Oryctolagus cuniculus: one gene and its partner. The protein of the gene in region 1 interacts with the protein of each later gene in a biochemical or structural test. Links are inferred from orthologs where the notes say so. Each region holds a gene or a part of one and is shown on either strand. Other genes may lie near its edges.

Region 1 (4,457 bases):
AGCTTCTTCAGTCCTCACACATGCGTGCAGAGACCCAAGGACTTGGGTCATCCTCCATGGCTTGTTGGAAGTGGAGCATCTGGGACTTGAACCAGGTGCCCATAATGGATACCGGCATTGCAGGCATTGGCTTAACTGGGTAATGCCACGATGCTGGCCCCTGTTGTTTTCAGTGACCTAAATGCACGTAACATGTCTACCATAGCCAGCAGAAATGTGAAAGACACTCCAGTACTAAGGATGCTTGTCTACATTCAGTTAGTACTCATGTATGTTCCACTAAATTAACTTAATGTTTGGGCATTTCATGGGCCTAAGTGAAGCACCAAGTTACCTCTGCTGGCCACGATGTGTTCCAGCCCTGTTCCTTCTGCATTTTCAGGCCATAACTCATACTCCTTCAGTTTATAGTGAGACCTTTTGAAGCCTGGAGCCCTGAAAAATGCAGTACTCCTATGTGTCCTAAAAAGAGTAGGATGGCGTTGCTCATAAGTTGGTTTTTTGTTTTGTTTTTTTTGTTGTTGTTGTTGGTTTTATTTATTTTTTTTCTGACAGAGTTAGACAGAGAGAGACAGAGAGAAAGGTCTTCCTTCTGTTGGTTCATCCCCCAAAAGGCCATTATGGCTGGCGCACTGCGCCAATCCGAAGCCAGGAGCCAGGTGCTTCCTCCTGGTCTCCCATGCGGGTGCAGGGCCCAAGCACCTGGGCCATCCTCCACTGCCTCCCCAGGCCACAGCAGAGAGCTGGACTGGAAGAGGAGCAACCGGGACAGAATCCGGCGCCCCAACTGGGACTAGAACCCGGGGTGTTGGCACTGCAGGTGGAGGATTAGCCTAGTGAGCCGCGGCGCTGGCCGTTGCTCATAAGTTTTAACAGCAAGTAATCTTTCTCATCTCCTTTCCAGTCAGATTTAATGACTGAATTTTCTCTTTGCAGTTTGCTCTGCTCATAACACTAAAGAACTCTTTTAAAAGTAAAAATTTGGTTAAAACAATTTTTTCAATTCATTAGACTTTTTTACCTTAGTTATCTTTGCATCGTCAGGAATCACAGGAAACGGTTGGTTAGAGATCTGGGATTAATGCTGGAATCGCTTTGCACCTCCAGGTTCGTAGAGTGTACCGAGTGTGGAAGAAAGATGCACCAGATATGTGCCCTCCATCATGAGATCATCTGGCCAGTGGGGTGAGGCTTAGGTCTTCTTTGCAGTGACTATCATTTCTTCAACAATTACTGTCTTTAACAGTTTTTCTGTTGATTGGGAAAGGGTCGTTACAGTCCAGTTTTAACACATTAAAAGTCCTAGAATCTGAAAATAAAAAATAGATCTTTCTCTTATTTGCATGCATTCTTCAATTCATACATTTTTCTTTCTTTTTCTTTTTTTTTTTGGGGGGGGGGGCTATTGTACATCAAAAGTAAACCTGGTAGATAAGGCATCTGGAAAGTAGCAAGCAGGTATTAGATGTGATTAAATTTGGCAGATTTTGAATTTATTTGTATTACAATAGAAAAATTAGGAGGACAGGGCATCAAAGGGGACAACTCTGTTGCTACTGCAGAAAACACACACTAAGCAGTGATCAGAGTAAGGACTGTCTGCTAGTAGTGAAGACAAGAAGCTGCAGAGCTGTAGTCATGGTGTCCTGACTCTTCCTGTCCCCGAATGAGGCTTCCTGGCTGTGTTCCCAAGTCGGGGGGGCGGGGTCTGGGTCACAGTACCTCTTGGTAGGATGGAGTCACCACATTGCTTCTGTTCCTCTCCTGCTCTGATTGTTGATGTTGATTCGGTGGTCATGGGAGAGGGGAACTGACGGATTTTGTGAAAATGGCAGTAGCTACATTTCAGTTTTCAGTGAGACTTGTCTTTAAGTGCACCTTTTTAGTTAGTACTTGCCTTAATCACACACTTTATAGGAATGACTAAGATACTTCTAAGTAATTCTTACAATTTGGGATCTGATGGTTAGAGATAAACTCCTTAATTAATTTATTAAGATTGCTTTTTCTTATTCTAATACTTTAAAATTTCAGAGTAAAGGAAATAGTGAAGGTCTTGCCTTCTCCCCTCTTACTCAGATTGCCGCAAGAATAACCATGGCCAACAGTTTACAGTTTACAGACCTTTTCTATGCACATTCATAATTTTATTGTTCACATGTAATGTTCTGAATTTTTTATTCTTACCTCATAGATTATGGACATTCATATTTATTTGAGGGGCAGTGATGCCTAGAGAGCTGCCGACTACTAGTTCCCTCCCCAGATGCATGCACGGCTGCCATTTCAGTCCAGGTCCCTGAAGTGGGTGGCAGGGACTCCAGGACTTGCTGTCCTCTGCCCCTGCAGCATGAGGCTCAGCAGAGTGGGAGTGGGAAGGAGAGCTGAGAACTCGGGCACTCTCGCGGGGCAGGATCCCCAGGGCACCTTTCATGAGATGCTGCTGTACACACGTTGTAAGCAGTTGCGGGAACGGAGGGATGTGTGCACGTTGTGCACCTGTTAGTCCTGCTCTCAGTGCATCCCCGTGTCAGCACCTGTGCCCGTGTGATTGGCAGCACAGAGCTCCCATCTTCGCTTGTAATCTCTGCAATCAGTTTATTTGCCCTTCACATTTCTTCCTGTCTATTACCGTTTTCCCATTAGGTTGTCTTTTTGTTGTACTAATTTCTGAAAGTTCTATGTATATTGCGTGTGTTCCCATTTTGTTAGCTATGTAGAGAGATTTCTGCCAGGTTGTTTCTTGAATATTTTACTCAAATAGTGGGTTTTGTTACAGATGCTTCTTTAAGTGCTTCTCTGAGTTGTGTAAGCAAAGCTTGGTTTACATTTTAGATTTGTCTGTGATGGCTGCTTAAAGAAAACTGCACGAACTAGAAAAGAAAACAAGTTTTCTGCTAAAAGTAAGTTACTTTCTTACAGATAAGTCTGGCAAAGTTTCTCTGAAGCCTAGTTAAGAAACCATCCAACATGAATTATTTTAACTTTAATTATAATTATTTAGCCAGAGTTAAAATAAATCTGTGATCTACTTAGAACTGAACTGTAATGTGCTTTTTGATGTAAAATTCCTGAGACCTAAAAGCAGAAAATTATCAAAAAAAAAAAGGATTGTAAAATATACAAGACACATGTTTTTCTTACTGGGGAATTTCTCCTTGTTTCATAATAAAGGCCAGAGGTTGATAAGAATTGCCATCCCTTGAGTGTTCTATTAGCATTTATAGAGGACACCTTTAAGCCTTACCTGATGTTTTCGCTGGTGGAGAGGTCAAATTGTATTACACACATTATTGATACAGACGATCTCACTGAAGTATCAGGTTTAGTTTTCTTCATGCCTTGTAGTATTTTGTGGTTGCTCTTGATTCCTGTAATTCTCCACCATTGTTATTAAAATATCATTGTAGTCCGTGCAAAGTATATGTGGATGTTCATTGGTGTATATTTTTAACTTCCAAAATTGAAATATTTTCCAAATAAAAATTTAGAATATTGAGTACCATACCTATTGTAACAATGCAATACACCAAAAATGGAACAACACCCAAGAAGTTAACATGGCCCCTGCGCTAGTATGATATGATCGATATATACTGACTACCTTTTTGTTGTTGTTGTTTGAAAAGAGCACAGTTGCCATTTGAACCTTAAGAGTGATGTTACAGATGTGCCTCTTGGTAACTTAACTTGTCTGTTTCTAGGGTTGCCGTCTACCAGACTTGGCACCTTTCTGGAGAATCGTGTAAATGACTTTCTGAGGCGGCAAAATCACCCCGAGTCTGGAGAGGTCACTGTTAGAGTAGTTCATGCTTCTGACAAAACTGTGGAAGTCAAGCCAGGCATGAAAGCAAGGTATCTGATATTTCTCTTCTCTTCTTTCATGAATGCAGAGTTGCTTATACGTGCTTTCTTTTGGTGATTGCAATCTGAATGAGGCATGTTGTGGTTTTCCCCTCCGATCTGACTTGTATAGGTTTGTAGATAGTGGAGAGATGGCAGAATCCTTTCCATACCGAACCAAAGCCCTCTTTGCCTTTGAAGAGATTGACGGTGTTGACTTGTGTTTCTTTGGAATGCACGTTCAAGAGTATGGCTCTGACTGCCCTCCACCCAACCAGAGGTATGGTTGCCTTATTACTGTGACTAGCTTCTCTTTGTGTGGGAGTTTTAAGTTACAATAGATGGAAGAGCAATAAGGAGCAAGAGAGTATATGGTGGACTTGGTTTAGAAATGCAGGATCTTAAGTGTCCAATAGTGTTAAAGTGAAACATTAATAATAAAACTGCTCCAAAAAATGACTGCTCAACGCCACTTGTGTGTGGAAAAGGATACAGAAAGCAGGCTGAAAGTGGAAGTAGAAACCAAACTCACTACTTTTCACAGACAGGCTTAACATCTAGACTATTAGAGTTATAGGAAAGAATGTCAGATAAACAGGGTAGGGTATGGTTGA
Region 2 (3,714 bases), on another chromosome or scaffold:
CGATCCAGCTCTCTGCTGTGGCCTGGGAAAGCAGTAAGATGGCCCAAGTCCTTGAGCCCCTGCACCCGCGTGGGAGACCAGGAAGAAGCTCCTGGCTCCTGGCTTTGGATCAGCGCGAGCGCTCCAGCCATAGCAGCCATCTGGGGAGGGAACTAATGGAAATAAGACCTTTCTCTTTCTCTCCATCTCTCAAAGTCTTTTTTTTTTTTTTAAATAGACTGGAAGATAGTTCAGGTACCAAAAAGTAAACAACAACAAAAAGCGAATTACCACCCTCGCCCACGGCTCTGTAAGAATTAGATGATAAAGCACAAAAAACCTCATGAGCAATGAGCCACAATTTCCTTGGCTTCCACTTTCTGTTCAAGTTAAATTTGTGTCCAAAATATTTTAACCCTAGAAACTCGACACTCACGCACTGGATAAAAACTTATCCCTGAAATAATTATGAGAAACTGAATTGAACATTTGGACAAACTAAACTTCTCACAAATTTACGTGTAATTAACTGCACTGAAAACAGCTGAAGAACCTTTGACCCAAGTTGAAGCCGTGTGCACACTGATAGCCCACCTCACCCTTACAAACTCCAAGAAACGAAGCCCAGAGACACTCCTCACCCAGACGTCATTACAACTTCTTTCAAGTGAGTTTGTGGGTGGCTCTGAAAAGAGCCTTTTTGGAATCCGATAAGCTTACAGGATTCACGCCCGCTCCCCGCGGATGCGGCGCGCCAGCTGGATGTCTTTGGGCATGATGGTGACGCGCTTGGCGTGGATGGCGCAGAGGTTGGTGTCCTCGAAGAGGCCGACGAGGTAGGCCTCGCAGGCCTCCTGCAGCGCCATGACGGCCGAGCTCTGGAAGCGCAGGTCCGTCTTGAAGTCCTGCGCGATCTCGCGCACCAGGCGCTGGAAGGGCAGCTTGCGGATGAGCAGCTCGGTGGACTTCTGGTAGCGCCGGATCTCGCGCAGCGCCACCGTGCCGGGCCGGTAGCGGTGCGGCTTCTTGACGCCGCCCGTGGCCGGCGCGCTCTTGCGGGCCGCCTTGGTGGCCAGCTGCTTGCGCGGCGCCTTGCCGCCTGTTGACTTGCGCGCTGTCTGCTTAGTACGAGCCATCTCGCGCCGGTGGGACTCAAACTTCTTGTCTGCGGCGACAGAGCTGCCTTTAAATATCGTTAGGACTACTGTGATTGGCTTCCGGATTTTCAAAAAATCCGCGCGACAAACTCATTGGCTAAAGGAGGAACTTCGATGATTGGTCCACTCAGACAACCTGATTGGCCGGATTCATCCACTGTCCGTTTGGGATGGTAGACGTTTTCTAACATCTGGATCATTCCATCTCAGAAGCGTACCTAACCGTGGAGGGAGATTACCTCAGTAACAGGCCCTAGCGTGGACCCCGAAATCCCTAATTACCTGGGCCTGCCGTCTAATAGCGCCCGATAAACACTGAGCCACGGAAAGGTGCCCTGACTTAAGGCAAAACGCGTTTTACGTTTGAAACAGCTGCACCTCGGGGGCTATTTCCCGACTGACACACCCCCCGTCACTGTGTGGCCTTTCATCCGTCACAATAAATACACGTTTCACTTGTTTCCACAGTTTTCTTAAGCGCTAACGCTATCACCATGGGAAGGACTAATTCCAGTCAGGGTTAGCAGCTTTTTTGTGAAACAGTGGATGGCCCTGAAAAGAGCCTTTGGGTATTTCAAAGCGAGAGTTGCGTCGTCTTTACTGTGGTTTCACTTGCCCTTGGCCTTGTGGTGGCTCTCGGTCTTCTTGGGCAGCAGCACGGCCTGGATGTTGGGCAGCACGCCGCCCTGCGCGATGGTGACGCGGCCCAGCAGCTTGTTGAGCTCCTCGTCGTTGCGGATGGCCAGCTGCAGGTGGCGCGGGATGATGCGCGTCTTCTTGTTGTCGCGCGCCGCGTTGCCCGCCAGCTCCAGGATCTCGGCCGTCAGGTACTCGAGCACGGCCGCCAGGTACACTGGGGCGCCGGCGCCCACGCGTTCCGAGTAGTTGCCCTTGCGCAGCAGGCGGTGCACGCGACCCACGGGGAACTGGAGCCCGGCCCGGGAGGAGCGGGTCTTGGCCTTGGCGCGCGCCTTGCCGCCTTGCTTGCCACGCCCAGACATGGTACAGCCAAACACGCTTCGCAATCTGAAGTAAAGAAAACCATACCCGCCAAGACTGTGCTTTTATAAGCAGCGCAGGGCTACTACAGTACGTCATCCTATTGGTCGAAATAGGTTCGCCTTTTCTGCCCAATAGGAAAAGACAACCCGGATACCTTATTTGCATAAACAACCCCCCTAGAGAAAATTTCTTTGTTGTCCAATCAGAAGTGAGAAGTCTCAAACCCTCATTTGAATTACGGGACTATAAATATATGCACTCCGGCCTGTCATCACTAATCAGCTGTAGACTGAGTCTGTTTTAGTCTCTCAGCCAATATTAAAAGCAATGCCTGAACCCTCCAAATCCGCTCCCGCCCCCAAAAAGGGCTCCAAGAAGGCGATAACAAAGGCGCAGAAGAAGGATGGCAAGAAGCGCAAGCGCAGTCGCAAGGAGAGTTACTCCATCTACGTGTACAAGGTGCTCAAGCAGGTGCACCCCGACACCGGCATCTCGTCCAAGGCCATGGGCATCATGAACTCGTTCGTCAACGACATCTTCGAGCGCATCGCCGGCGAGGCCTCGCGCCTGGCGCACTACAACAAGCGCTCGACCATCACGTCGCGCGAGATCCAGACGGCCGTGCGCCTGCTGCTGCCTGGTGAGCTGGCCAAGCACGCCGTGTCCGAGGGCACCAAGGCTGTCACCAAGTACACCAGCTCCAAGTGAGCTCCCGAATTGGCGCCGCCGCCCCTCACCCCAAAGGCTCTTTTCAGAGCCACCAACTCTTTCACAAATAGAGCTGTGGCCGACGTCCTTGTATTTTGCTCCTGTTGAGGTGGGTTTAGGTCGGGTGTTAGGGCTGGCGTTAGTGACGACCCCAGAACGCGTGTTTATCCCGTGCAGGTCGGCGCTGAGTAACCTTAGGGCACTTTGGTCGGGGTCGGGGACTGGGGTTCGCGATGTGATGGGAGATGCGCATTTCGTGAACTCGGGTTCGCATGAGCTTTGAAGAGCCCCCTCTAACATCTCCAGCTCCTCGACAGTGAAATGGAGTGAAATTCCTGCAGTTCTCCCTGTTACCTACCTGTAGCCACTAATCACGTCGGCTAAGCAGTCCTTGAGTCTTCAGAAATCCATGGATCACCTATTGGATGGGGCGGATTTTTCTCAAGAATGGAGCCTTGATACTGGCTGGAGTCAGGATGCGATCTGAATCCCGCGCCTTTCCTGGTTCGCGGCCAGCCACTGGCTGAGGGGAGGGGCCAGGGCGCGTCGGGGCGGAGGTTGGCCAGTGCCGTGGCTTTAGAGCGACTCTGGAGTGGTTCCCAGAGGTTCGCGCGCCACTGTGACCGACACCGCCTGTCTGGGCGCGCAAAACGCTGGTGTGAAAGAGAAGCTGGCCTGGCAATCCCACCCCACAAAACCTGCAAACACCGGCCGCAGCGTCAGCAGCTGCCCTGGAGGACTGAGACACCCCCCCCCCCCCCCCCCCGGTATTCGTATTCTCAAAATGCCTCATCTCTGATAACTTTTTTTTAAGATTTATTTACTTGAGAAGCCAGGAGCTTCTTCCGGGTCTCCCACACAGGTGCAG

What was found.
Region 2: of the proteins of EP300 (region 1) and histone H2B type 1-B, one has a biochemical effect on the other in vitro, tested with the Homo sapiens proteins (8 studies listed by BioGRID, with this or other methods). The link is inferred for Oryctolagus cuniculus from reciprocal best matches to the Homo sapiens genes EP300 and H2BC3.

Annotation. Positions count from the first base shown.
Region 1 is NC_091442.1:117,233,903-117,238,359, forward strand, and holds part of EP300 (histone acetyltransferase p300), read left to right. Parts: intron 1-1,107; coding exon 1,108-1,185; intron 1,186-2,835; coding exon 2,836-2,903; intron 2,904-3,704; coding exon 3,705-3,855; intron 3,856-3,976; coding exon 3,977-4,123; intron 4,124-4,457. UniProt on the Homo sapiens protein: Functions as a histone acetyltransferase and regulates transcription via chromatin remodeling. Acetylates all four core histones in nucleosomes. Histone acetylation gives an epigenetic tag for transcriptional activation.
Region 2 is NC_091436.1:153,352,132-153,355,845, reverse strand, and holds histone H2B type 1-B, read left to right. Parts: upstream 1-2,137; 5' UTR 2,138-2,465; coding exon 2,466-2,846; 3' UTR 2,847-2,902; downstream 2,903-3,714. Other genes in the region: histone H3.1, read right to left, coding at 705-1,115; histone H2A type 1-B, read right to left, coding at 1,745-2,137. UniProt on the Homo sapiens protein: Core component of nucleosome. Nucleosomes wrap and compact DNA into chromatin, limiting DNA accessibility to the cellular machineries which require DNA as a template.